Sus scrofa: one gene and its partners. The protein of the gene in region 7 interacts with the protein of the main gene of each other region in a pairwise test. Links are inferred from orthologs where the notes say so. Each region holds a gene or a part of one and is shown on either strand. Other genes may lie near its edges.

Region 1 (4,084 bases), on a different chromosome or scaffold from region 7:
CATTGCTGCTGTTGTTATTTTCATTCTCAATAACATCTCTATCACCCTCAGGACCTGCCCTCCTTCAAGTATTCCTAAAGAGCCTAAACTCTTTTGTCCATCCCCAAGTCCTCCTTCTTGAAAAGCCTCTAGGATAATGAATCTCAGGTCTCCGCACTTACATAAGAAAGCAGGAGAGGGCCTCTGCATCAGGACTTTGGGATAAGTGCCTCCGTGCCAAGGCTTTGTAGCGCTGCCAGCGTCGGAAATTCTCATAAACACCCTTGGAGGTATAGGAGAGGTCACCCAGAGAGGGCTTGGATCGGGCGGCTGGAGGACCTCCTTCCCCAGTTGTCTCACGTGGTCCTGGCCAAGCCTTTTCTGGGGGTACAATGGGGGCCAGTTGGGCAGCTGGCAGTGGAGCCTGAGCAGAAAGGCCTGGTGGGCCCTCCTGGCTCACTCCAATAGCCTTGGTGGGCAGGAGGGTCTTCACGTTGGAGGCTGTCAGGAATCCGGTGGCAGGACACTCAGGGCCCCCACAGGGAGCACCTGAGGCAATCCAATTGAGGGCAGTCTGAGTAAGGATAAAGTTCTGAGTTTGAGAGGGCTCAGCCGGCCCCCCTTCTGTCTGGACTTTGACAATGACCTTGCTAGCTCCAGCTCCACTGGGGCCAGGGCCCCCATCCCCTGTTACCAGCAATGGACTAGGGAAAGCAGAGAGCACCAGGGGGTTGCCTAAAGAGAATGCTGGATGCATCGGGGGCTGTGAGGGCTGCTCCCAGGGTGGTTGGTCTGGTGGCCCAGGAGCAGGCTGGGGGAGGGGAAGTGCTGTGAAAGGAGACAGGGCAGCGCCAGATTTCATGGTCATGTCCGGTGCTGACAATGGAGACACTGTAGAGACAAAGAAAAAGAGGGGATGGAGGAGGAGAAAAAGAGACCAGCAGTTACGTCCATCTGAGTTCCACTCTAGTCCCTGAAGAAGCAGGCCACTGATTCTCAACAGGTGAGGAAGGGGGAACTTGTATAGTTTGCAAATGTCCTCCAACTGTTTCTGTCCCTTACTCCCCATTGACAATGACCTCTGAACCATAAGCTCATACCCCATGACACATGCCACCTAGCATCCAGGGACATCTTTTATTCCCACCCATTACAAACACATTCAAACCACCTGAACCCTGCTCCCAGCTGCTCTGTGGCCCCTGTCACCACTCAAAGAAGCACTATTCCCAGGAGCGGGTGTGTGTGTGTGTGGATTATATGTTTGGTTCCCAGAAATTTGTTACATAACAGCAAGGAATGACTAGAGATAAGGGCCAGGAAATGGATTGGGGAGGGCGGTGTGGAGAGGGAGGTTTCCAGAGCTTTAAATAACTGCTGGACGTGTTGTACTTTTATCTGTGATCTTTCTGTTCGGAGCTCCCAGTATCAGAAGTTTAGGATCCACTTTTGAACAAGGCACTGATAACGAAGACTGAAACACAGTTCCTGCTGAGCACGAGCTAGGAGGACTCTAGTCAAAGAAACCAAGGATAAATACGTAAAACATGTACTTAATTAACTGGGACATGTGTCCCTAAGACTTTTAATGATAATAATAGAAGATCATCTGGCTAATTTCATGCTACTCTCCTCCCCCTCTTATGAAGAATATTCCACTGGCAAATTAACAACACTCAGCTTCCTGACCGTGAAGGAGATGATGAAGAGCAGCAAACTTCCCCTGAAGCCTAGAGCAGAGGGCCAGGAATATTCCCCAAAGTACAGAACACCATGAAATGGGTCTGAAGGCCTGAGCTCCTCGAAAGGTGGAAAAAAAACAGAGCACCTCTGGAAAGTGTCAGTTCTCATCGCTGCTGAGTGACCTCCCACCCCTGGCCCTGGGGCAGCAAGGAAACCCACACCCTGAACTAAAGGCAGATCCAGGAGGCTCTGAACAGAGGCACTTACAGCACCTTCTAGTCTAGCTTCCTGGAGAACATTTCCCTACAGACTTGGCAACAGATGACCCCACTGAACGGTTTTCTAGCCAAGACTTCCAATCTCCCCCTACCCAATGAGATGGAGAGCAGCCTCAGCTCAGTTCTCTCCGCGCAAAATCCCAGAGCAGGCTCCAGCTGCCTAAAGAAGACCTCACGACTTGGGCCTCCCCTTTGAAACACTCGTGCCCCTTGTACAACGCATACCCCTGCCCCTGCCATACAGAAGCATGTTGAAGGGGTCCCTCTTCCAGAGAGGCAAGCTGCTAACTGCCATCCCTTCTCTCTACTCAGCACTCTCCTCTGAGGCACTTTGATTGGCCACCCAGGAAGCTCTCTTCCTCCCCCAATCCCCAGTTTTGTTGTTGTTGTTTTGGCCACACCCTCCAGGGGAGGAGGGGAGGCCAAGGATCATAAGCTCATCTCAGCAGGGACTTGACCCCAGCCACATTATGACAACACTGGATCCTTAACCTGCTGCACTACTGGGGAACTCCAGCTCCCACAATCTCCTTCCCTAGCCTTCCCAAGTGTGACGCCTTGGGTGGGGGTCTAGTGCACTCACATCCCTCTAGGTCAGCCCAGGTGAAGCGTCAAGTGTTGAATCTCCGAGAAGTGAGCAGGTGGTAGACTCTCCCCAACCTCCCCCACCTGCAGACTCACCTCCATCTGAAGCCATCCTCTCCGGTTTGGGCACTAACCGTGGCTGCCTGGAAGCCTTCACAATGACACGGTGGGTCCAGCACCCAGAGAGTAACCTGGCTCCAGTAGATACACAGGGATCCAAGGAAGGAATGGTAAACATCAGATCAAAACAGAACTAGAATCTAGGACCCAAGGCATTCTGCAGGGGGGGAGGGGAGGTGGCATTATGGGGTGGGGTTAGGGAGAGATTCCACAAAGGGCTCTGGAAGTGGGCAGTAACCAGGAATTCCCTCCAAATCAGAGTATGGCAACACAATTGTTGCACACCTCTCTGGGGCAACTTGCAGATTCTTTCCTGGATTCCCAACCACATCTTGGTTCCCTACAGAATTCTTCACCAATACATCTAGTTTTTGTCTTTCAATGCTACCCAGTTCTATAACTGACTTCCTATTAATAACAGGTTCTGGCAAACCCTTGACTTAATTCAGTGTTGGCTGTATTTTCTGAACCAAATTCAGAGCACATAGTCTGTGTACTTAAGGATCAAGGGAACAGAATGTTTGAAATTAGGGTTGTCTTAGAAGATCAAGGGCATTGAATTGCTGTATACATATCATTTCCTTGGAAAGCTGTGCTGCAGTTCCCAAACTGTCCACTACCATCAGCTCTGCAGTCCACAGAAGGCTTAGCCTTAACCCTGGCTGAAAAGCCTCCCATTCCATCAAAAACTGCTATTCAGCCTAAAATTTCAAGAGCAAAAAGTCCTTCTTTTTGTTTGTTATTTTTGTTTAAAATTTTTGTTAATAATCTTAATTTTTTAAATGGTAATATGTCAGCATGGTTCAAAAGTCAAACTATGCAAAATGAAATATAACAAGTCTCCAACCATTCCTTTCCTCTGGAACCGAGTTATTTACCCCAGGGAAAACCAAATTTCCTCTGAATCCTTGCAAAGGTATTTTATGCAATTATAATAAACACAAACTATACTCTTTTTAAAAAAGCTTTCAGCTTTTTCTGGTTATAAACTTAATATATATTACAACGTTTCTGCCGTTATAAATAATAACGGCCACCTTCGTAAAGATATCTCGGTTCCAAATTCATTGCTTTAACTAGAAGTCCTATAAGGAGAATTTGTACGTTCTTTTAAAAATTCGAAATACCCCTAAGGGGTGCGTCTTATTAGCTACTCACCACTATAAGAATGGGCGTTGAATTTGTGGTAGAGACTTGAGTTTGAATCTTGGTTCGACCATTAAAACATACTTCACCAGTTTCATAAAATAACTTCACGCTCTTTTCGCTGTACAGAATATTGAATACCCATCATGCACTCTTTACCGCCAATACTTTGAAATAGGGCGAGGGAACCGGATGTAAAAGAGGGGAGGGAAGAAAACCTTCTTCTTTCTTCCCTAAAGTAAAAGGGGTTCTGGGTCCTGGAGCCCTGGTTTCTCCAGGTAATAGAAGCTCAC
Region 2 (3,423 bases), on a different chromosome or scaffold from region 7:
TATAAAAATACATTTTAAAGTGATTTTTTTTAAAAAATGTATTTGTGGGAGTTCCCTTCATGGCTCGGTGGTTACAGAGCCCAACTAGTATCCACGGGAACGTGGGTTTGATCCCTGGCTTCACTCAGTGGGTTAAGGATGTGACATTGCCATGAGCTGTGGTGTAGGTCACAGACACCACTCACATCTGGCATTGCTGTGGCTATGGCGTAGGCCAGCAGCTACAGCTCTGATTCAACCCCTAGCCTGGGAACCTCCATATGCTGTAGGTGTAGCCCTAAAGAGACCAAAAAAAAAAAAATCTATTTGCTATGTTAGATTACCTACAATAGTCTCCCTTAATTGGCATAGGAAATTAAAAGTCATTTATAATTTATTATCTCTGCTCTTGTATTTTCTTCAGTAAACATAGTCATCATTTATATTTGTAAATGGAATTACTCTTCAGTTTTCATGGCTTGTGAAATTTTTCTTTTCTTAGGAACAAGAGGACTCTGGAAATATGGTCAGCATTTTAATAACATTGTAAGTCCACGATGATAAATGATTCATTCTTCAGTTGTCCAGTTTCCTCAATTCCGAACTTGATCATACAATTTGAAATCCAACTGGCTTGCTCTTTGTTCAAACAGAAAAAAATCCCAAAACATAAAGACACTTTATTTTCCAGTGTTAGGCCAGTTTGTTCTCAAATTAAGGAGAATCTCAACATCTTGTTGAGCCAGTTTATAAATACCAACTTCATTTAATGCTGCTGCAGCAGGAGGCTGCCCTGAAGTTGACTGCAGGACATCTCTCAGAAGTAAAGCAGAACCAACATTCAAATTTAAAATAATACAGGCTTCTTTTACACTGTTTAAAAAAAAAAAAAAAAAAAAAAAGGAGGGAAATGAGATCTCCATTATCTTTATCATTCATATAATCCTGTAACAATTTCATTTTGAAAAACCAGTTTCCCTGCACTACTAGATCATATGTCCTCTATAAAAACTATTTATGGATTAATTTATTTGGCTCTTTTAATGTGTAATTTGTATAGAATTTATGTTTCATTAGATTACTGTTAGGTAGTAGGATCATTGTCTTCAATATGTATCCATTACTTCCCAAAATATGATACTTGATGTTAACAACGTATTAAATGTGGATAAGACTTTAGGTGGATTAGGATATAGGAAAAGAGAAAATTAATGGATAAAATAAAAGCAGAAAAGTATAAAATTAAAACAAAAAAGCAGAAAAAGCAGAAATAGATACTGAAATGAGCAAAAAAAATCATTTAAAAAAATCTTTTTTATATATTTAAAAGAAATACTTCATAATCTCAAAAACCTCCTAAATAATTTAAAATTTACATCAACAGTTTCTAAAAATACTCCTAAGACTTCCTAAATATATTTTTAGTTAGCCAAAATTTTATCAGATGTTTAAGCAAACAAATTTTATTCAGGCCTGGCCTATTACTCAGTACTAAACATATTTTAAATTTCTTCTATTTGTCATATATGGCAGAACTGCATCTACTTTCATTTTCTACTTATTTCTTAGTAATAAGCAAATAGGAACATTAAACCAAATGTTAGAAAACAAAGCCCAACATACAATTTATATCCAGTTCTGGCCAACATTTTGGGGGCCATGGGTCACAGCTTAGATTATTGGTACATGATGCATTTTTTTTCTTTTTTTGGCCATGACAGCACCATATGGAAGTTGCCGGGCCAAGAACTGAACCCAGCTACAAGCAGCGACCTGAACCACTGCAGTGACAAAGCCAGATCCTTAACCTGCTGCACCACAAGATGCACATTTTTAATTATTAATTGATGCTGTATATATTTAACATCGCTAGAACCCTAAAGTGTTAAAAAAAAAAAAGGAATCAACCTCCTCTAATAATTTGATACATCAAAATTAATTTTTAAATATTAGGCTTACTGTTTAAAATAATTTTCTGGTCTCTTGCAATAGTGGGAAAACAAAGGGAAAAGGTTCCGAGTCATGTCAAAGTGCAGCTGAGCCGCTCCTCCTTCATTGAAATGATTGGCAAGAATTATCTGAAAAAAGGAACAATTCATATAGCAGTCACCTTTATCACCACAGTCCCCATTACAGTCTGCTCTTACTTACTTCTTGGTAGATGTATATGTCCAGCTTCTCTACAAGCATCTGCCAGAAAATTTTAAATAAGGAGAAGCAAAGCTGCTGCTCCAACTGAAGTAAACGGTCTCGTAGAGTAAGCAGCAGTGGGCAAGCCGAGCTGGACAGGGACATCACCGCCTGCTCTGACTGAGACGGCAAGGACAACCACCTAGAAAAAAAGGAACAGTGCTGCTTGAAGCACATTAATTTTTATTATGAAATCTGTCATCACTCTATTTCTAAAGATTTTACAAATCATTTTAAATTTGGGGAAGTGCACTGTCCTGTGGCATTTTGGATAAGAAAAAATGCACAGTCCAACGTTAAAAGCTCTCTTAGAAAGTTAATGTACTTGTGTTTACACTAGTTCTCATATGTATACTAGTTCTTAATGAAATACTTTTTACTTAATAAGGATGATAAATTTTTTAAATCCCCAATTTCAATAGGACTCACTGATATAAAACACTTAAAATGCAACATGCATTAACATTTGAGATATCAGCTAATTTTATGCTCTTATTTTCAGCAAAACAACAGGGACTAAAAACACTTTCAAACTGGGAACGAGTGCTCTGTGTCAGGACAGTGCTGGGACAGACACTGCTTGCTCTCAAGGGGCTCACAGGCTAGAGTGGTAACAGGCGTCACAGGGCATCGTGACAGTGGACTAAAGGATAGTGCAAGCATGCACAGGCACTCGGAAGTACCTTGCTTTGAAAATGGGTGACAGGGTAGGCCATTCAACCTCATATCTTACACCCACCCCCTGTATTTACAGACATACCTGAAGATTAAGTTACGAGCAGTTTATTCTGATTAAGAATGTCTGAAAAAAAATTTTTTTAATAAAAAATAAATGAATAAAAAGGAGTTCCCACTGTAGTGCAGCAGAAATGAATCCAAGTAGTATCCAAGAGGATGTGGGTTCAATCCCTGGCCTACCTCAGAGGATCTGGTGTTGCCACAAGCTGTGGTGCAGGTCGCAGACACGGCTCAGATCCTGTGTTGCTATGGGCTGGCAGCTGTAGCTATGATTTGACCCTAGCCCCAGAACTTCCATATGCTATAGGTGTGGCCTTAAAAAAAACAAAAAGGAAAAAAACAGTTTGGACTGCAAAAGGCCAAACTCCGTGTTACCTAGACACCTTGGAAATCTGACTATATATGTCATTTCCTTTTTCTTTTTTGGCCGCCCCACAGCATATGAAGTACCTGGGCCAGGGATCAGATCCGAGGCACAGTTCCACCTATGCCACAACTAAAGCAAGGCTGGACCCT
Region 3 (4,289 bases), on a different chromosome or scaffold from region 7:
AATACTTGGTGAAAGAATAATTCATACTCTTTATTTCAACGGGCTTGTTTTCTTCAGGGAATCATGTTTTGTTTTGTTTGTCTTTTTGGCCTTTCTAGGGCCCAGGCTAGGGGTCCAATCAGAGCTGTAGCTGCCGGCCTACGCCAGAACCACAGCAATGCGGGATCTGAGCCGCGTCTGCGACCTACACCACAGCTCACGACAACGCCAGATCCCCAACCCACTGAGCAAGGCCAGGGATCGAACCCGCAGCCTCATGGTTCCTAGTCAGATTCATTCACCACTGTGCCAGGACAGGAACTCCCACGTTTCTTAATTTTTATATCTTGCTCTTTTGGTGGCTTCCGGAATTCACATCACCGTCAGATGCTCTGTTCTCTCCTTTGATTGGGACTGAAAAATAAGAGTTACTCCTCCAAGCCTCATCTTCTGCCACTACCAGGTAACTCACCCCGCCTCATACAGGAATCAAACTACTTCGCGTTGCAGGGAACACGATGCCCACGCCTCCGTTCCCTCGTACGTGCGTGCTGTTCCCTTTGCCTGGAATGCCCTTGCAATGGCTTCTCTGGCAAACTCCTACTCATCCTCCAAGACAGCTCAGATAACGCCACAGCGTTCTCCGAGAACGCTTTTCTGAGATGGGAGGAGCGGCGACCCCTCGCCTCTCCTCAGCCTTCTCCAAATAATTCTGACCGTACTTATGGTATTATTTGTTCTTTCCCTCCTATAGATCTTGAATTCGTTTCTGTGCAGAAAGGGCCCGGATTTCTGTTCTTAGTTGGACCCTCTATACTTGACACAGTGCTTAGAATGTACTAGGCACTTGGTTCAATCGATGAGCGAACGAATATGTTCATTCACCTAACGCAGCAGAGTTTGTTTGGACCAGATTCTCAAATATTTCCAGACCTGATCCTCTATTTGGCTTGCTTCACGTGGGAGGGAGATTCCCCCCCAACCCCGCCAAACTGGGTTGGTGGAAGGGGAAAACGAAGTGATTAGGGTGTGCATAAAAGTCCTTTCTTGGCTGGGGGAAAAATGTAATTGTAATGTATACATGTAAGGATAACCTGACCCCCTTGCTGTACAGTGGAGAAATAAAAAAAAAATAAGTTGATATCGGCCATCAAAAGTAATATGACAATTGAATCATGCAAATGTGGGGCATAAAAAAAAAAAAGTCCTTTCTTTCGGAGGTGAGTTGTAATTGACCCGCTCTGGCACCGAAAGGGTTACGGCGACCCAGGGGTGGAGCCCTGTCGGTGCCACCTGCTGCGGGGCGGCCTGGCGCCTGCGCTCTGGCCTGTAGCTGATCTACCTGCGGGGGGCCTGGCGGAGGAGGAGCGCTTGCGCTCTGGGCCTTTTCCGCCGGGGGAAGTCTCGCGGGGGCGGGGCGGGGCGGGGCCGCACAGGGAAGTTCTCGCGGGACCCCGACCAGGAGCGGAAGCGAGGCGGCTGTGCTGCTTCAGCTACCGGACCGCGGCGGCGACGACGAAGACTGTGGCGGTGACGGCGGCGAGAATAGGCGCTGCCCTCGGGGAGCAGCAGAGGGGTCTGCGGCCGCTCGCACCGCTGCAGAGGGGCCGGCCGGGCGTGGAGCGGAGCAGCTGCGCCACGGTGAGTGTGGCTGGCGGCGACGGCGCTGCTCGCGTGCTGCTTCCTCCCCGCTTCGTCGCGGGAGTCGGCCCCGGGGGACCGGGCCCAGGGTACCGTGGGCTGCCGGGCCTGGGGGTCGGGAGTGCGAGGCTCCGGGCGGGGAGCGGAGCGCCCGGGCTCCGGGCTCCATGTTTCCCCTTTTGGGGCGCTTCCTTCCCGGGGACCGTCCTCTCAGTACCCTTGGCTTGGAACAGAGCCCTGGACGAGAGGCTGGGGGCTCCTGATTTAATTTTATGCTTTCTTCGTGAAGGTTTGCACAGGGGGGACCCGGAGAAGCCCGAGAACACAGGGTAATCATTCTGTGAGTCAGTGTGACTTGGCCCGGGAGGCGGGGGATTCGAGGCGGGTTGCAAATATGGTGATTGATGCTCCTTCGACCTATACGGCCACCACGTCACCAACTCCTGGTGTTTGGGGGCCGAATTTTGGGAGGAAACCCACCAACCCTATTAATACTGTGAGCGAGGACGTTTGTTACCGGAGCCAGTAGAAATACCTTTACTTTTATTGCGCTTTTTTTTTTTTTTTGACTGCTTCCCTAAAAACATTTGTTAAGAAAAGTAAGCAGCAGTTAATCGGAATGCTCCGAAGAAAGATTTCCGTGATCGAGGGCAGAGAATCGCTGGCACTTTTCATTTGCAGCTCTCTCTGTGTATAGGATTGTAAAGCCATGCTAGTTAACAGCTTATTTAGGGAGTTCACCTAGGCTGGCTTCAGATGCAGCAAAAGTATACTTTGCAGAAGAGCCGAAGTGCCCTCGCGGGTTCTGTCTTTTGCTACTCTTGAGTCTCAGAAGAGGGTGGAAAAGAAAGGCGCACTAGAGAAATTCGCTTTAGTCTTCTGGGCTTTCTAGTCCCTCTGTTCACTTTGCACTCCACAGTTGCTGCCTTTCTAAACTTCTCCCTTGTCTTCTGCGGCCACGAAATGCTTACTCCGTATAATGCAAGTCACTTGCCCCCTCCCCCCTTTTAGTCTAATCTACTTCCCCTTCCTCCTTATTGTCCCTTTTGGCATAATTTTTTGAGGTTTCTGCTCTTTCGCCCGTTCGTTTTTCTCCCTCATTTAAAGATTCCGTTTCTCTCCCGGAAAGATGATGCCCTCTTCCCTGCTTTATCCTTTGCTGTGAAGCGTCCACTGTGTTTCTTCAGTCAGCCAGAAGGGTTGCTAGAGAGCTGTGCGAGACTTAAGGTCTCCCCCTGGGAGCTGGGAGGCTCAAAGGATTGAGTTCAGCCGTAACCAATACTGCACTAATACTGCACTAGATCACAAGTGTAGCTTGCTGGTGTTTTTGTGTTTTAGTTGTTTTTTTTCACTTTTAGATCGCATTTTTGTGCCTGCTCAGGTTTTTCTATGTCTCTCTTATGTTAGTAAGGAAGATTGGGTCAATTTGGGGCTCATATGCCTTCTTTTTGGCTTTTAGCGGGGGAGGCGACTTAAAAAATGAAAACCAACCATAGACACCTATATTACAATCAAGAGAGCTTGAACCATTTAAGGGAATAGAATTTATTTAGACTACTGATGAATTAATTAAAGCTTGCCTGTTGGAGTAGTACTAACTTATTCTTTCCCAGGCTTTTAAAGATCAGGTGTCTCTTCCTGCATCTGCTATAAGCAGCCTTCTTTGTTATTGTTGCTGGGCTTGAGGGGGGAAGGCGGTTGACAGAAAGAAATAACTATGTTCTGTTGGCCTTTCCTTTGTTTAAAATGTTCTGAATCCCCCAAATTTAAAAAGGTTAATTCTTGTAATCAGCTTTGTTTGTTACTAAAAGCAAGCACTCAAATGCTTGAGGCAGTTTACTTCCTCAGCAAGTGTGTTCAGATTTGAGGGATTACTAGGTTTTTCAATACAACTAATTGATGGTACTTAGAGATTTTTCCCCGAAATTCTTGTTACCATGTTGCACATTGTGTAGCAACAGTTCTAATGGTTACTTAGAACAAAAAAGTAATAGATTTTGGAGAAATGAAGTAATACGGAATAGAGACCCACTATGGTTTCCTGAGAGAAATTAATAGTTATTCGCTTAATTCAGAAGACATTTCTGGCACTCCTGAATGACTATTGAGAGCCTTTGTTTTTTTTTTGTTTTTTGTTTTTTGTTTTTTTTTTGTCAAAGTTGGCTTTTTCACAGTTGTGCCAAGTGGATAGGCGTTATTTTCAATTTATGCAAAGACATTATGCATCATCTGAGATGTAAACTTTAAAATCTGGTAAAGATACCTTTACAGTACAGCATGATTTTTTAAATTTAGCATGCATAAGAATTACCTATGAATCTTAACTTAAAATTAGGTTCTGGAGTTCCCGTTGTGGCTCAGTGGTTAACAAACCTGCCTAGGATCCACGAGGACGAGGGTTCGATCCCTGGCCTCGCTCAGTGGGTTAAGGATCCAGTGTTGCTGTAAACTGTGGTGTAGGTCGCAGATGCGGCCCCATCCCACATTGCTGTGGCTGTGGTGTAGGCCAGCGGCTTCAGCTTCAATTCTTCCCCTAGCCTGGGAACTGCCATATGCCACAGGTGCAGCCCTAAAAAGACAGAAGACCAAAAAAAGAAAAAAAAAATTAGGTTTTGGGCCTAAGGCCACTGTGCTGCAGAACTTCAGAAGGCACCTCGTAGTGAATCAGT
Region 4 (2,839 bases), on a different chromosome or scaffold from region 7:
AGGCCCACTCCCCAGCACTCCCTCGGGGGTTGCTCCACAGGCCCGGAGCCTGGGAGCCTCACACCCGTGGCCTCAGGCCCCCACGCCGCACCCAGCCCACCCCCACTGGGGGTGGGGACCTTGGGGACCAGGCTCTCTGGTTATCAGGTGGCTCCTGACAAGCCCGGAAAGTTGAAGAGCCACCTGGTCTGGTGACCCTGACCTAATCAGTGCCTGGGGTCATCTGGGCAGAGCCCAAGGCACCCAGCCCTCCTCAAAACGAGCACGCGCTGTGGCCTTGGGACCGGTCATCCTCTGCTGTCCTGGCAGCCCCAGGGTGGGAAGGGCAAGGGGGTGCCTGAGTCCCAGCCCCAAGAAACCAGGACATGCAGCAGCCTGCCTGCAGCTCAGCTGCAATTCCCCAGACGCCCAGGGGGTGCAAGTGCCTGGCTTGGGGGGAAGCCCCCCCATGGCAAGGATCAGGGCGGCCCCTCCCACAGAACTGAAATGCAGGAGGCTCATTTGAGTCACGTTAACCTTTATGCCCCTTCAGGGTGGCTAACACTGGCCAGGGGTCAGCCTGCACAGGTGACTCACCCACCCCTACCCCCAACACCAGAAAGGGGGTTGTTTCCACGGGGTGGTGGTGGGGGATTCAGGCTGTAACAGGATGGATCAGAGCTGGGGCCCGCGTGGGGCAATTCTGACTCCAAAAGCAGGTAAGGGTGGGCTGGGGCGGAAATAAGGCAGACAGCAGGACCGGCCACCATGGTACCTGTTCCTGACCCAGATCGACTGAGCAGCACATGGGCCGGCAGACAGGAGTGAGCCACGCGGAAGGCCACGTCGTCTGTTGATGTTCTCACCTCTTCCTTTGCACACACAGATGGGGGTCTGGTCGGTCCCATCTCCACTGCCCACCGCCCACCACCCAGGCAGAGGGGCAGAGAAGTGGGGAGCACAGGGTAGAGTTCAGAAAGCGAACACCTGCTGCCCAAACTGTCGTGGATCCCTGCCCCAACTTTGGTCATAAACTCTTCAGTTCACTGTTCCCAAGGGTCATTAACAGCTACCGCCACCAACCCTTAGAGCCAAGAGAGAAAGGAGGAGAAGGCAAATGCAGGAGGCGGCCTCCGGATGCCCCTGCTCAGAGCCCGCAGCACAGCAGTGCCGTACTTCTTGGGCAGAGGTCCCTGGGGATCTGGCCCTGGGGAGGACTTGGCTCAGTGTGCCCTGCTGAGGGGGGTCAAGGGCCAGGCTGTCTGGGAGGACTGGGGAGCTGGTGGAAGCACATGTGGAGATCACCAGGTTATTGCTGCATGTGGGGTAACAGAGGCGGAGCCACCCAAGCCAGAGGCAGCCCGAGGGCTCGTCCGCATCAGGGGTCCCCTTCCTGGAAAAGCACCGCACACACTCCTTGCGCCACCTCTTCCAGCAACCAGGAGACCCCGTCTGGGTGGAGACGGACAGCCCTTCGCTTCGCCAGCAACTGGGGTCTTTACTCAATGAGCTCCACGTAGTTGGCAGGAAACATGCCAAAGTGGCCGTCGGGCCCGTAGCCGCGCCACCAGCCTTCGTCAATCACTTCAATGCCCGTGATGAGGTTCTCAGGGTCAAAGGAGATCTCGGTCTCGTCGGCTGCAAGGAGGTGAGCCCAGAGGCCCTGCTGGGGACTCTGGGACCCTGGGGGCTGCCCCCAGCCTGTCCTGATGCCACTCCTGTGGCCCTTCGCCCAGGACACCCTTGCTACAGGGTCTGCCTCGGTCCGGGGTTCCAGCGAAAGGCTGGAGTCCAGACCGCACTGCTGCAGGGCCGCCTGTCCCCGAGGCCCCCGCCTGGGTCAGCAGGGACACTGGCATCCAGGCCTGGCCCAATTCTGTGGTCACTCCCTGGCTCCAGAACAAGGCAGGCAACTGGGATCGACCCCAGTGGAGACGAAGTAGGCGCCCAGAGCACATGGGGAGGCCTGGGCACCCACCCGCCCTCCCGTCCTCACTTCAACACCCCCTGGGGCCGTTCCCCCAAGGGAGCCCCAAATCCTGCCTCCTGATCTTGGGCCCCACGGTTCAAGGCGGCTGGGCTATAGCACGTTACCTGCCTGGTAGTCGTACAGGGCCCGGGCACAGAGCCCTTTGCCACTCAGCCCTGGGTAGTGGTCAACGTGTGCCGAACTGGCCTCTTGCAGCTGCACCTGCCCATGGATGGGAAAGAAAGGAGAGGTCTGGGGTCCTGGTGACCCCAGAGTCGACCCTGCCCAAGGCCAGGGCTCAAGACAGACTTGGGGGGTGGGGGGCATGGCACATCGTCGAACTGCCAAGGAGAGCAGTTCTGCGCCTGGGGCCTCTTCACAGCCTGGCCCCGCCACAGGGAACCCACCATTGGAGGCTCCTCGTAGAGGGTCTCCTGCTCTGGGGGCTCCTCGTACACAGCCTCCTCCTCCTCCTCCACCTGCACAGGACACGGAGGGGCGCTGGGCACCGGCTCCTCGTGGAGATCTGCTGGGGAAGACACAGCCCACGCTGACCCTGGGGAGGGGAGAGGGCATCCAACCCCCTCCCCACCTCCCTCCCCCCGGGGAAGCCGGGAGTCTTGCCTGCCGCGGGCCTTGAGGCGGCAGGGGCTGACTCTCTGCTGAGGGAGGTCTCGGGCTGGGTGAGCTGCTTCTGCAGGAAGGGGCTCCTCAGCTTGCCTGCAAACCAGTGGTAAACACACAGGATATCACAGCATCACACCGCCGCAGCAGGGACGGGCCAAGCAGCCTCTGGCTTCGCTGTGCCCTGTACTGCCCGGAGGGTGCACCTGCTCTGGGCCACCGGCTGTCACCCAGGGAGTGAATGGGGAGCCGCAGCAGGTGCATGAC
Region 5 (4,256 bases), on a different chromosome or scaffold from region 7:
TCTGCAAAATCCAGACTATAGGACATATAGGTCAAATGACCAAGTTCTTCATTAGATAAATTATAAGGAAAAGAAAGGAATAGGGAAACAATCTACAAGAGATTTTTTAAAAATTTTAGTGAGCAAGACTACATTATAGTGTCAAAGAATATGGATTTATGAAAAAACTAACACAAGGAGGCGACTAGTATAAAAGTCAGAAAAATAGCTACTAATGAGAGGACAAAAGCAGTTGTGATTGGGATAAGCAAATTCTTGGCATGGCTAGCTAGCATAGTTCTCCACCCTACCCTGGGTGGTATCAGATTTTAATAATTCATTAAGCTATACATTTGGTATATGTGTTCTTTTCTGTTTGATTTCATAATAAAAAGTCATTTTTTAATAAAAACATTTTGTTAAATAACAATAAAAGCAAAAGGAACAGTGCCTGGCACACAGCAAGACAGGTGGTGATCAGAGTTGGTGACCAGCTACTTGTACTATCTTAAATAGTTACTTAACCTCTTCAGTTTCCTTGATTGGGTTTAAAATATCTGATAGGATTATGAAGAGGTCAAAAGGAAATAAATACATAGTATTCCATAATTAGTAGATCCTTTCCACAGCCTCTCAACATCCAGAGGGAGTTATTTATTGCGTCAGACATACCTCAGTCATAGCACGTTCCTCTTACACTTTTCACCTGGTCATTCAAGTTGATCAGAATGAAATGATCACCCAGTGAGCCTCACGTCTGAAACTGCATCTTCATCTAGGTTTCAAAAAGATAAACAGGCCCACATCTTAAACATTCATCTCCTATTAAGAATGATTTGTGTTATCCTCAGAGCAGGTATTCTTGGTGTTAATGACTGACTACAGGGAGCTGCATCTACTGAATCAACTGCTAATGGACTCCAGTGCTCACCACCACGTGCCTTCACCCTTGCCTTCTCTCCCCTTGTCTTTCTTTGTTTTGTTGAAACATATACCTGAGAGCCCAACTCTATTATCATCTAGCATCAAATCTGATTCTGACTTCAAAGGTATTCAAACAATATTCTCATTGGCAAGGGTACTCTCAGACAACTGGTACTGAAACACAAAGACAAGGAGAACAACTATCAATTTCACCTGTGACAAAGCCCTTCTTTTCAGAGGTCTATGCTGTGAAATTAATGTTACAGATAGTTTGCAGCAGCATTTTCCCCACTACGGGCTATGCCAGGACACAGGTCTGTGAGTCACCAGAAGAGACCCAGTGCTTCCCAGGACCAAAGCAGATGGTGTGGCTTGCTTTAAGCAGTGTCATAAGATACCTAAAGTAAAACTGTGGGAAAAGGAGTTGCGGGGTAGGAGTTGGTTCATACACACCACAGAAAACCAAGCACAGAGAAGCCAAACATAGTTCTGTTTGCACTGTCTAGGTTTCCCAAGAGCCCTTTGGTAACTTACCCCTTATAGGTTTGGAGCCCCTGGCTCATGCCCCATACATTAAAATGTAGTTGCTTTTCACTACTTTTTTGGGGACAAGCTGGGAATAAAGCATGGCTGGTAGCTGTTCTTTTTTGAGTCACCTCAAAACCTGTAATTAGCTTTCTCAAAAGCACATATTTCACTTTACTGCAATAAATGGAATGTGCAATGCTTTCAAAGTCTCTATTGTCTGTTAAATGCAAAAGCGCCATCCCAAAAATATACCAATACACTGTTTAACGTTCCTAAGAAGCGAATCTAAGGAAACAGAATTAGGATCGGATCTTACCTCGATTAAATCATCCTGCCCCAGGAGAGGTTACATAAAAGGTTAGAATAGGCCACTAAGCAGAAGCTGCGGGCAAAACCCTAGCCAGCCAGCCACCTTTTTCCCAAGGTGAGGTGGGGAAGGCCCGGGTCTACTTGACAATACCAAAAGTAAAAACAAAACAAAACCTCATGCAGAAGAAGATTGAGGCCAAAAGAGGTAATGCCCGCACAGTCTTTACCATTATTATGTATAGAAAATAAAGTGGTACAGAAACCCTTCTACATTTCAACATTTCCATCTCACTGATTTTCTTAATAAAATCATATTAGATTCCACATAAAGAGACTCTCCAACTCTGCAAAGATTACTTAAACCAGAGAAGGGATTACTCACCTACCCCTTTGTGTATCCCCCACCTTCTGCTACGAGCCTTCACTCGCCAAGTTACCTTCCCAGGCACCTAGATTCTGAAACGTGGGGCGAGACCCCCCGGCCAGCGCATGGGGACGGAGTAACTACCAACAACTATCCAGAATCCAGGCTGCGCCAGGTATCCGTCCAAGCTTCACACTCACTACCTCAATTAACCTTCTCAACCACCTTGTAAGGAAAGATTTACCAGCTGTCGTCTACAACTGAAGAAACTGATGCGCTGAGATGTTAAATGAGGAGCCAAAGATCACAAGGGGCGAGGAGCCAGGACTAGGACCAGGTCGATCAGGTTCCCCCCACCCGCCCCCAAACTCCTTATCCAGGGATTTTTAACTGGCGCCAACCCGTCCCAGGCAGCTCCTCTCTGGGGACCCCAGTAAGGGTCAGTATGACCACTCGCATTGCGCAGACGAGACCATTTCCGGTGGAAGCTCAAGCAGGGGCTCCAGGCAAAGCCTCTGTGAACCCCGAAGGCCGCTTACCTTCCTCAGCTGCCGCCTCTCTACAGCAGCTCGCCCAGCCCGGCCGGCTCAGCCGCCTCCCGCCCCGCCTCTACGACCGTTACTCCACCGTGGGAGGCCAGCCAATCGAGCCCGAGCTCATCGACGAGCCCGATTCTGCTCCGGCTCTGAAAGCCCTAGCGACTTTCTCAGACCGCCCAGGAAGGCTGGGATTGCTCCGTGCCCTCTGGTTGGCTCTGCTGCTGGGGGCGGGGCTTACCATTAAAGTGAGCGATAGTTTGCTGTTGCGGCTTTGCCGTCTGTGCTCCACAGCTGCTGGACCCCTTCTCCTCGCAACTGCTGTTCGCTTACCTGGGTCCTCATTTGCCAGGAAAACTTCAGAAATCCACATTTGAGGCGGTCGGCGCGCGAGCGCGTGCGTACACACACACACACACACACACACACACACACACACACACACACGGAAATAAGTATGTCTTGAGGACATTTTACCTTCCCATTCAGCATTTGCCAAATTTCCGCCAAATGTCAGGCCATAAATCGCGTTCCAGAAATGCAAAAGTGGCTGACTGGGGATATTCAGAGGCTAGTTAGGGAGCTAGATATACACCCTGAAAAGAAGGTGCAATGTGATAAGACATGATCAGGAAAGGTATGCAGGGCACGGAAGGGAAAGAAAGATTATTTACATCCGTCGCTAAAGTCTTCACCCCAGCTGTATATTAGAATCACCTGAGGAGCTTCGAAAATGATGCTCAAGCCCAAAACAAATTAAATCAGAATCTGCAGGGCGGAACCCCAGCTTCAATAGGTGATTTCCAAGGCAGAAAACTACAAACCTAGAAATATGCATAAGAATGATTTGGAATTATTTCCCCAGTAATACAGATAGGAGAAGGTATTTGGAGAAACCTCATGTGCAAATTAATAACTCCAAACCACTTTATTACAATGCCTAGCTCACAAGTGCTCAGTAAATCTCACTTTTTTTTTTTTCTGTAATTAAACCTGAGCTCCTTGGTACAGGTCATATCTGCCCTCCCCAAAAGCCTAGCTCCCAAAACATTGGCAAATATAATGGGCTTCTTAAGGAAGCTAAGGAGTGTGTTGCATATTGGAGAATAAGAGGAAGGTCTTAGCAAATGTGCTGAAGAGCTGGGACTTTATCTTGGAGATGATGGGGAAACATAGATCAATTTTCAAATGGAATATAAAATGGAAAGGGTTTAATTTGGGTATCTTCAAACACAGCTTTCATGCATAATTTGTTTTATATATATGTAAAAACTATATATGTGTTATATAGTAAACCAGTAAAAACTATTTACAAAACTGGGTTTAAAAAAAAAAGTCTCCACAGTGCACAAATATGATCACTGATCTTTTTTCCCACAAAAAGAAATCAACTAAATCCTCTATTTATCACTTTAATAAATTCATCATCTACAAATAGGGCCCCTGCCCAAAATTTTCAAAAATTCATAGCTGGTTAAGTGACCCAAAAATTCTCAGGGGAAAATCCAGCTGCCACATACCTAAGGCGAAGGTCTGGCGGCCATTGTCATTGCATCTTATAGCCACACGGTGTCGCTGTTGACAACCCGTAGTTTCCAAATAGTCAAAAGATGAAG
Region 6 (3,500 bases), on a different chromosome or scaffold from region 7:
TTTTTATTTATTATTTATTTATTTATTTATTTATTTTGTCTTTTTGCCATTTCTTGGGCCGCTGCTGTGGCATATGGAGGTTCCCAGGCTACGGGTCCAATCAGAGCTGTAGCTGCCGGCCTACACTACAGCCACAGCAACGCGGGATCCCTGACCCACTGAGGAAGGTCAGGGATCGAACCCGCAACCTCATGGTTCCTAGGCGGATTCGCCAACCACTGAGCCACAACGGGAACTCTGAGAGAGGTCCCTAGTAGTTTTTAATTAAGGTATATCTATTGTTCTGTGAGACACGGTGCTACTGCACACTTAACAGACCACACTACAGGGTGGACATAATTTTAAATGCACTGCGAAGCCAAAACTCCCTTTACTGCAGCATCGGCTTCACTGTGTGGTCCAGAACTGAACCCACAGCATCTCCAAGGCCTGCCTATATCTGGTTTTGTAAATTGAATTGTAAATTGAAAACACAGCTGGACGCATGTATTCACGTTCTGTCTATGGCTATTTTCTTGCTAAGTAGGGGTTTTTTTGGTTTGGTTTTGTTTTTGTTTTTGTTTTTTTTCTGTCTTTTTGTCTTTTCTAGGGCTGCACCTGCGGCATATGGAGGTTCCCAGGCTAGGGGTCTAATCAGAGCTGTAGCCACCGGCCTAGGGCCACAGCCACAGCAATGTGGGATCCGAGCCACATCTGCAAGCTACACCACAGCTCATGGCAACGCTGGGTCCCTAATCCACTGAGCGAGGCCAGGAATGGAACCCAAAACCTCATGGTTCCTAGTCAGATTCGTTAACCACTGAGCCACGACGGGAACTCCCTTGCTGAGTAGTTATAACACAGACCATTATGGCCCCCAAAGCCTAAAATATTTACTATCTGGCCCTTCACAGAAAAAAAAAAATTTCTAAACCCTAGTCCATAGGATGTATCAGAGAAGGGAGAAAATACAGGAAGTGAGGTGGTGGTTACAAGGGCCATTGTTTTAAGGTGACGTGGAGGATGACAGGTGCAGAGAGATGAGCCTTGTCTGTATCTACAACCAGATGGAAGAACAGAACAAGGATCTTCTAAGGCAGGACAGGCACTCATGCTTAGTTACCATCATTTTACGTGATTTATGCTGGTTAGGTCTCTGCTGGTTCTAACACTTTATGAATCTTTCAGGAAAAAGCAGCCCTTGTGGCCCTGGTTACCTGCAGGGTCGGAACTGTAGAGAGCGGCAGCGGTCGCTAGGGTTCCTGGCGGGTGGATGGCGCTCGCTGAAGACCTCTGACTTGCGATCAGGATCCGACTCTTGGCAGACGGTAAACGTGACATCGCGCCCAATCCCAACTGGGGCTTAAGGAGCATGGCCGATCGATAGAAGGTTGGAGGAACTTCATAGTGCGTATAGGGAGGAGAACAAAATTCCTCTTTTCCAGGGCGTTCTGCAACCTACGATAAGTGACCAGAAGCTCAGTCAGAGACCCGAGCATCATAGGACGAGTGCTGAACCCAGTCCAGACACCACGGCGCCAGCAATGACCACCGGGCACCATCGAGTCGCTCCACCCCCCGTCACTTACATTCACTGGACCCCGCGTCTTCATCTCCAAGTGGACCACGGCTGGATGCCCTCTTAGGTCTATGCTGGTTCTAACACTTTATGAAACTATATTTCCCTGGGAGAAAAAAGAACCCCCTCTATAAGATTTTTAAATTTGATCACCCCCAAACCATTGGAATTTGTGCAAGAAGTCAATCTATAAATAAAGACTGTCAATGATGCAAGAGGAGAATTTAGCAAATGTTCATGGAATTCGGAAAGTTCCATGATTGCTAAGGAGGAGAGGCACAATTTTTCTAGTGACCTAGTCTTCCGTGAAGTTGATGAACTTTATCAGGTGATGTGACGTCTTTATTAGGCTACTTAGGAAATACACTATGCACGGTTAATGAGGGAGAAAAGGTTATTGGGAGGAATGGAGAAGTTAATGCAAAGACGTCTTTGCTCAGGCCTCTACCTTCTGTTTCCATAATTAAAAAGGAGAGACTGTGAACTACCTCTGATTATCGTTCCTAGTAAGGTGGTGCCTGCAGGAATGTTTGAGCAAGTCTCACCAGGATGGAAGTTGGGGGCAGAGTCTTGCGTGAGGACTGCTGAATGCATCGCACCTAGAACAGCATTTAGCGCAGGGGCTGAAATCAGCAAACCTCTGGGAACTAAAGGGATCGTGTTTCCTTCTTTCCTGAATTTAATCACGTGACACCATGTGACAGTCTGCTGTGGTTCACAGGGCGGATGAGGATACTATTGATGGCTACCTTTTAAATAGGCAATCCTGTACTCACAAGCCTGTTCACAGTATCAGTGTTTCTTCACGGTAAAAAGAGAACGAAATAATCTTATTTCTTTTAAGTTAAAAAAAAAACAAAAAACATAGTGCCAGAGGCTACATTTGAAAAGATACAGATGTTAATTAACTCCGCTCTAAAATCACAATGCATTCGACTAGTCAAACCTCCATCTCTTCAGAAATCACAGGCGTTTAACCATATTCTTTAATAGGGGCTGTAAAGCTGTAATCCCGGATGTGGAAGCGATAAACCCTTAATTTAATACCCTTTGACTGTTGAAAGAGATACAAAGTTCTCCTCAAATTGACATTATTGAAACAAAAGACGAGGCCTTTAAAGTTTTATCATAATCACATTATAAAATATGCATGATCGCTAGAGCAGATAGATGGAATTCAGGCCACGGCAAATTCAATTCCTGTGAAAGAACATTCTACATCTGCTGCCTGATAAAATTTTCACCATTTTCTACTTACGCTCTTACTATCAATCCTCGGCTTTTCTATTATACTCACATTTCCTCTATTTTTTTTTAAATTTTACTTTCTAAATGTTTGGTGTCATTGCTCATTGCTTTTAGCTGGTGCTCCCATGAAGAAATCAGTATCATTTCTAACCTACATCTGCTGAGATTTTAGGATTGCAGTGTCCTCTGTGTCAGTAATGATTCTGTTCTTTCAAACCGGACAGACTCCAGGGGTCAAATCCATCCCACTGTTGGAGTTCCCATTGTGGATCAGCAGAAATAAATCTGACCAGCATCCATGAGGACGCAGGTTCAATCCCTGGCCTCGCTCAGTGGGTGAAGGATCTGGCATTGCTGTGGCTGTGGTGTAGGCTGGCTGCTGCAGTTCCAATTCAACCCCTAGCCTGGGAACCTCCAAATGCCACAGGTACAGCCCTAAAAAAAAAGAAAAAAAAAAAAAAACCCACCCCGCTGTCATTCAAAAATAACTTTAATGTTTTCAAGAGCTTCAATGTCTATCATTTTGTTGGGTAATTTGTCTCTAGTAAGATAACAAATTCTTTACAAAGGTGAGACGTATGCCTCAGATGCCTCATCTGTGCACTTTTAATAAAACAAGAGAGTCTACAAAAAGCTTCACATGCTTTGCTTTCATCTCTATTGACAGGACAGAGCAGGATTCACTGCAGTCACA
Region 7 (4,222 bases):
TGGAGAAGGAGCTGCTCAGGGAAGCTGGAAACTTCTACTCTGTTCCCCATTTTGAATTGGGTGACAGCAACACCGACGGTGTGGGGAGAGCCTAAAAACTACAACTTGGCACGTGCCACCTTCACAGCGCCCCCTCCCTCCAGCACTGGTGACAAGCGCTGACTCCTGCTGGGCAGCCACCACCTTGAGCCCTGCACATGCAGTAACTTATGAACCTTCACCATAACCTTGGTGTTCAGTCCCTCCCTCTGCCCATTTCACAGAAGATGGAAAGGGGCGGCACTGGGCGGTTTGGCTCCACGTCACTGCAGGAGGTTTTCTCCGTGAGCCCAGAATCAGAACATCATCAGGATGAGGCCCCACGGGTGAAGTTTCAGAATGAAAACCAGCAAATTCTAGAGGCAGCGGAAACGGTGAACCGAAGGTACATGAGGCAGGGTCCTTCTTGGGAGGCAGAAGCCTCATCTCTGTAACTGCAGGTGGGCTTTGGGGACGCTGGGCATTGAAAAGCCCTCACCCCGGAAAGATGGCGGGAAGTGACGTCATGTTGGCGCAGGCGCAGATACTGATGCCCAGTCAGTCACTGAGTATTGAGCCTCCTCAGTCCCCCTCCTACCACCCCCAAGAGCAGCACTGGGGGCAGGGGGCAGAAGGATGGCAGGAAGGGACACAGTCAAGACCTCACAGCTGCGATTTTGTGCCGTTTTGCCTTTTGCAACAAATAGATTTTTGACGTTAAAGTGGATCTTGAAGGAAAGACACTGGCCTCCCCCTGTCCTCAGGGGAAACTTGGGAACATAGTTTACAACCTTTCTGTGGGGTGAGGCTGAATAATATGCATGCCACTCGGAGGCTGTGAACACCCACCAGCGTGAACGGAACTCCTTCCTCAAACACAGCACAGGAAGCTCTCGGCTCACAGCTCTGCCTCTCCTGAGCTGTGGATGTTTGCGTTGTCACTTCCCTTCCTCGGACTCAGTCTCCTTGCCACGAAATGAGCCTGAACTTGAATCTTTGTCATCTTAGGAATACACTACATTATAGTGCGGAGTTCCAGACGCAAGTGGGGCTGGGTCAGCGGAAACAGAAACAAGGAAATTAACCAACCAGGGGTTTCCCCTGGTTTCCCTGACAATCAGTGCTTGATACGATCAAACACAGGTAACTTCCGTATCCAATTCATTGAGTGCTACCCAGTTATTTAAGATCCAGTAGAAAGGAAAACTCAGCTAACTCTTTTCCTCCTGAGCAGCACTATTCTTAAAACACAGAAATGACAACAAGCAAAGAGTCCACATCTGCTATTTTTTTTCCAAAAATTCAAAGGGTCATGGCACCCATATTTCCCAGAGCCACTGTTTTATAAACAGTAATTATATTTTTTGGTATTTTTTATAGCTGCACCGGCGGCATTTGGAAGTTGCCAGGCTAGGGGTCTAATCAGAGCTGCATCTGCAATCCATGCTGCTGCAGCAGCAATGCAGGATCCTCACTTAACCACTGAGCAAGGCCAGGGATCCAACCCGTCTCCTGTGGACACTATGTCAGGTTCTTAACCACTGAGCCACAACAGGAACTCCAAGAATTGTATTTTGAATGACTCTGAGATCTTACTTTACCAGAGATACGCCTAAATCATAAAAATATTGTAATATGGACAGTGTACTTTAATGTTAAAAACATAGTTTGAATTCTAATTCTTTTTAAAAAGCCCTGTTTCCAGACTTTCCATGCTCTTACTCAACTTTACCTTGTTAATCTATCTGCAAAAGGGCTATTTTTGAGGATAAAACAAATTACCATGGGTGACAGCAGTTTGGTAAATTTGATAAATACATACCATTCTTCAGGTATTTAAAAATCGCTGTACGTGAATTTCTCCAGAAATTCCTCTCACATGCCAAATCTGTACCTGGGATAGGCCTTCACTCACTTATTCACTTAAAATAATGATTGTATCCCAAGTCATTTCTATTAAACAGGCAATCAAACAAAGCCTTTTAGGAGGTGAGCAGACTCCAAGTTTAGAAAGAGAGGAGGGGAGTTCACTTGCTCTTCCAGTGACTCTTGGGAGGGTAAGACAATTCTGAGCAAACCTGCACAGTTTTGCCCTCTTCGCTGCCCCTCATGCCACCTCTGGGGAGCCCGCGTGAACCAGAGGGCGGGAGAGAGCAGGGAAAGGTCACGGCCAGGCCACCTGCGGCCACAGTCTGGTCCGCCTTCCGGGGGGCGGCGCGCCCACCCTGGGCCCTGCGCGCCCACCCTGGGCCCCACCCCGCACCCTCAAAGGCAGAAAGCGCCCTCAGACCCGGCCTTTCCCTCCGCCCGCGACCCCCACGGGCCACTGCCGGCCTTCTGCACGCTTCCTCCCTGGCAGCCCCGCTCGCGCCCCTCGGGGGACGCGGCCGCCTGCAGCAGGAGCTTCCCGCGCGCCCCGCCGCCCGCGTACCCCTCACCACGACCGCCGGCCGGCCCTCAGCGCCTCTGCTCTCCCGCCGGTGCAGCGACACCGGACACCGACACCGGACACTCGCCCGCCCGCCCCGCCAGCACCTGACCCCCCGGCGGAGGAACGCGCCGCGCGCCAGCGGGACCAGAACCCACGGGGACATCCACCCCCGCCGCCCGCCCGCTCGCCCGCACTCACTGGCCGCATCTGGCCCCTCCCGGCCCGCACCTGCCTGCGCGGGGCTGGGCCGCCTGATCGGGTGCCGAGGGAGGAGAAGGAGCAGTCGGCTGCACAGACACGCGGCCGCGACATGAGCCAAGCGCGTCCCCAGCCCGCCCGTCCGTTCGAACCTGCGGCACCGGGGCTGGTCCCGCCGCGCGCGTCCTGCGGACGGTGGTGAGATCCCGGCCAGGCACCAGGCTTCCTGGCAGGTGGGGCCTGAGCCGGCGGCGGGCGGGCCTTTCTTCGCTCCGCGGGCTGAACTTCTGTTCTGGCGCCTCTGGAGCTCACTTTTTGTTGTTGTTGTTGTTGTTGTTGTTGACTTTGAGAAAATTACCAAACTCTTGGGCACTTGTCCGGAGGGGTGTGGCTTTGTAGGAGGACAGGACCAAAGAGGAGAACAGCTGGAAAGATGGAGACTGGAGACAGCGGGGACGGGGAGAGAAAATGAAAGAAATCCAAAGAGAAGGGCAGAAGAAAAGGAATGCTGAGAGCAGCGGCCAAGTCAGGTTGGGGTGGTTGCTGAAGGAGGAGGAGCTGGCCGAGGAGGGAAAAGGAAATCTGGGAGGAAAGTTCAGTAGAAGCAGCGTGGAAACATTGGGGGGGCATGTTCCTTCTAGAGGAAACGTTCAGAATGTGTGCGGCAAACAGCCTGCTTTGGTGACCCCATGGTGCAGGTGTCAGGGAGAGAGGTTATAGACTGCGATGTGGTCCTCTTCCACGCAGCCTGCCTGACTTGCTCCTTCAGAATGAAACCTTCCCATTTCTAGGCTTCCCGTACTACAGAAGTTAGAGCCTTGGGGTAGAGGTCAGTCCTCCTGCCTAGCTATTTAAAGGCTATTCTGGAGATCCTATCTGGGGAGAATTCCTGGTTCAGTTTGGTTCCACTGCTTATTAAATGAATGGCCCCTTAGGGTCTTTCTGGCTGGAGTGTCATTTGGCCCTGGCTCGCTGCTGTGGCCAGCTCTGAAGGAAGCCTAACACTTCTTGCATGGGCAGTGGAAGAACTGTAAAGTGAGCATTTAACACATCTGAGAACCATTTAATGAACACTTGCCAGGAGCCAGGCCAGTGGTGACACTGGGGGCCTGCAGGGAACAGATGGCCAGGGCCTGCATTGCCATCCTCCCTGCAGCACTGCCTGCTACAGCAGCTCTATGTTTTATACCTCTTTGAAATCATAAACATCAAGTAAGGACTAATCTACCCCAGGAAGGTTTGAATCCTACCCAACACCCAGACACACAATAGGTATGCAGGATGTGTTACAGTTCAAATGCTCCACATGGTAAAATTGCTCCAAAAAACATCAAGGGGCTCTGTTATGTAATTACGAGGCCCTGAATTATTTTCTGCCCTTTGGGCCATGCTCTCAGTGGAAACATTTCCGACTCTGGCATCTGCAATGCGTTGTGGAGGACTGTCGCCTTCACATGGCAGCAACACTCCTACAGAGAGTAGGTCTGGGCCACGGGCCCTTGGCAGGAGACAGGGGCTGAGCCTCTGCTTCCTGCTGGTCCTTGGTGAGTCAGAGACACATAGGATGGGTGTCAC

The links.
Region 1: the proteins of SH2 domain-containing protein 4A-like (region 7) and NUTM1 interact in binary tests that used the Homo sapiens proteins (3 or more experiments, as listed by UniProt). The two-hybrid records come from large-scale screens. The link is inferred for Sus scrofa from reciprocal best matches to the Homo sapiens genes SH2D4A and NUTM1.
Region 2: the proteins of SH2 domain-containing protein 4A-like (region 7) and RINT1 interact in binary tests that used the Homo sapiens proteins (3 or more experiments, as listed by UniProt). The two-hybrid records come from large-scale screens. The link is inferred for Sus scrofa from reciprocal best matches to the Homo sapiens genes SH2D4A and RINT1.
Region 3: the proteins of SH2 domain-containing protein 4A-like (region 7) and GRB2 interact in binary tests that used the Homo sapiens proteins (3 or more experiments, as listed by UniProt). The link is inferred for Sus scrofa from reciprocal best matches to the Homo sapiens genes SH2D4A and GRB2.
Region 4: the proteins of SH2 domain-containing protein 4A-like (region 7) and DBNL interact in binary tests that used the Homo sapiens proteins (3 or more experiments, as listed by UniProt). The two-hybrid records come from large-scale screens. The link is inferred for Sus scrofa from reciprocal best matches to the Homo sapiens genes SH2D4A and DBNL.
Region 5: the proteins of SH2 domain-containing protein 4A-like (region 7) and CEP70 interact in binary tests that used the Homo sapiens proteins (3 or more experiments, as listed by UniProt). The link is inferred for Sus scrofa from reciprocal best matches to the Homo sapiens genes SH2D4A and CEP70.
Region 6: the proteins of SH2 domain-containing protein 4A-like (region 7) and MTUS2 interact in binary tests that used the Homo sapiens proteins (3 or more experiments, as listed by UniProt). The two-hybrid records come from large-scale screens. The link is inferred for Sus scrofa from reciprocal best matches to the Homo sapiens genes SH2D4A and MTUS2.

Annotation. Positions count from the first base shown.
Region 1 is NC_010449.5:80,156,698-80,160,781, forward strand, and holds the start of NUTM1 (NUT family member 1), read right to left. Parts: upstream 2,801-4,084; 5' UTR 2,764-2,800; coding exon 2,622-2,763; intron 871-2,621; coding exon 162-870; intron 1-161. UniProt on the Homo sapiens protein: Plays a role in the regulation of proliferation. Regulates TERT expression by modulating SP1 binding to TERT promoter binding sites.
Region 2 is NC_010451.4:105,423,853-105,427,275, reverse strand, and holds part of RINT1 (RAD50-interacting protein 1), read right to left. Parts: intron 2,869-3,423; exon of another isoform or gene 2,312-2,868; coding exon 2,131-2,311; exon of another isoform or gene 2,058-2,130; coding exon 1,939-2,057; exon of another isoform or gene 1,701-1,938; intron 1,006-1,700; exon of another isoform or gene 853-1,005; coding exon 660-852; 3' UTR 519-659; coding exon of another isoform or gene 482-518; 3' UTR 1-481. Other genes in the region: EF-hand calcium-binding domain-containing protein 10, read left to right, coding at 482-518. UniProt on the Homo sapiens protein: Involved in regulation of membrane traffic between the Golgi and the endoplasmic reticulum (ER); the function is proposed to depend on its association in the NRZ complex which is believed to play a role in SNARE assembly at the ER.
Region 3 is NC_010454.4:5,939,234-5,943,522, forward strand, and holds the start of GRB2 (growth factor receptor-bound protein 2), read left to right. Parts: upstream 1-1,489; 5' UTR 1,490-1,620; intron 1,621-4,289. UniProt on the Homo sapiens protein: Non-enzymatic adapter protein that plays a pivotal role in precisely regulated signaling cascades from cell surface receptors to cellular responses, including signaling transduction and gene expression.
Region 4 is NC_010460.4:48,712,835-48,715,673, forward strand, and holds the end of DBNL (drebrin-like protein), read right to left. Parts: intron 2,669-2,839; coding exon 2,573-2,668; intron 2,475-2,572; coding exon 2,356-2,474; intron 2,171-2,355; coding exon 2,074-2,170; intron 1,618-2,073; coding exon 1,478-1,617; 3' UTR 501-1,477; downstream 1-500. UniProt on the Homo sapiens protein: Adapter protein that binds F-actin and DNM1, and thereby plays a role in receptor-mediated endocytosis.
Region 5 is NC_010455.5:79,384,141-79,388,396, forward strand, and holds the start of CEP70 (centrosomal protein of 70 kDa), read right to left. Parts: upstream 2,801-4,256; 5' UTR 2,644-2,800; intron 755-2,643; 5' UTR 661-754; coding exon 652-660; intron 1-651.
Region 6 is NC_010453.5:6,202,815-6,206,314, reverse strand, and holds part of MTUS2 (microtubule-associated tumor suppressor candidate 2), read right to left. Parts: intron 1,438-3,500; coding exon 1,197-1,437; intron 1-1,196. UniProt on the Homo sapiens protein: Binds microtubules. Together with MAPRE1 may target the microtubule depolymerase KIF2C to the plus-end of microtubules. May regulate the dynamics of microtubules at their growing distal tip.
Region 7 is NW_018084867.1:67,350-71,571, forward strand, and holds the start of SH2 domain-containing protein 4A-like, read right to left. Parts: upstream 2,801-4,222; 5' UTR 2,678-2,800; intron 2,505-2,677; exon of another isoform or gene 2,450-2,504; intron 1-2,449. UniProt on the Homo sapiens protein: Inhibits estrogen-induced cell proliferation by competing with PLCG for binding to ESR1, blocking the effect of estrogen on PLCG and repressing estrogen-induced proliferation. May play a role in T-cell development and function.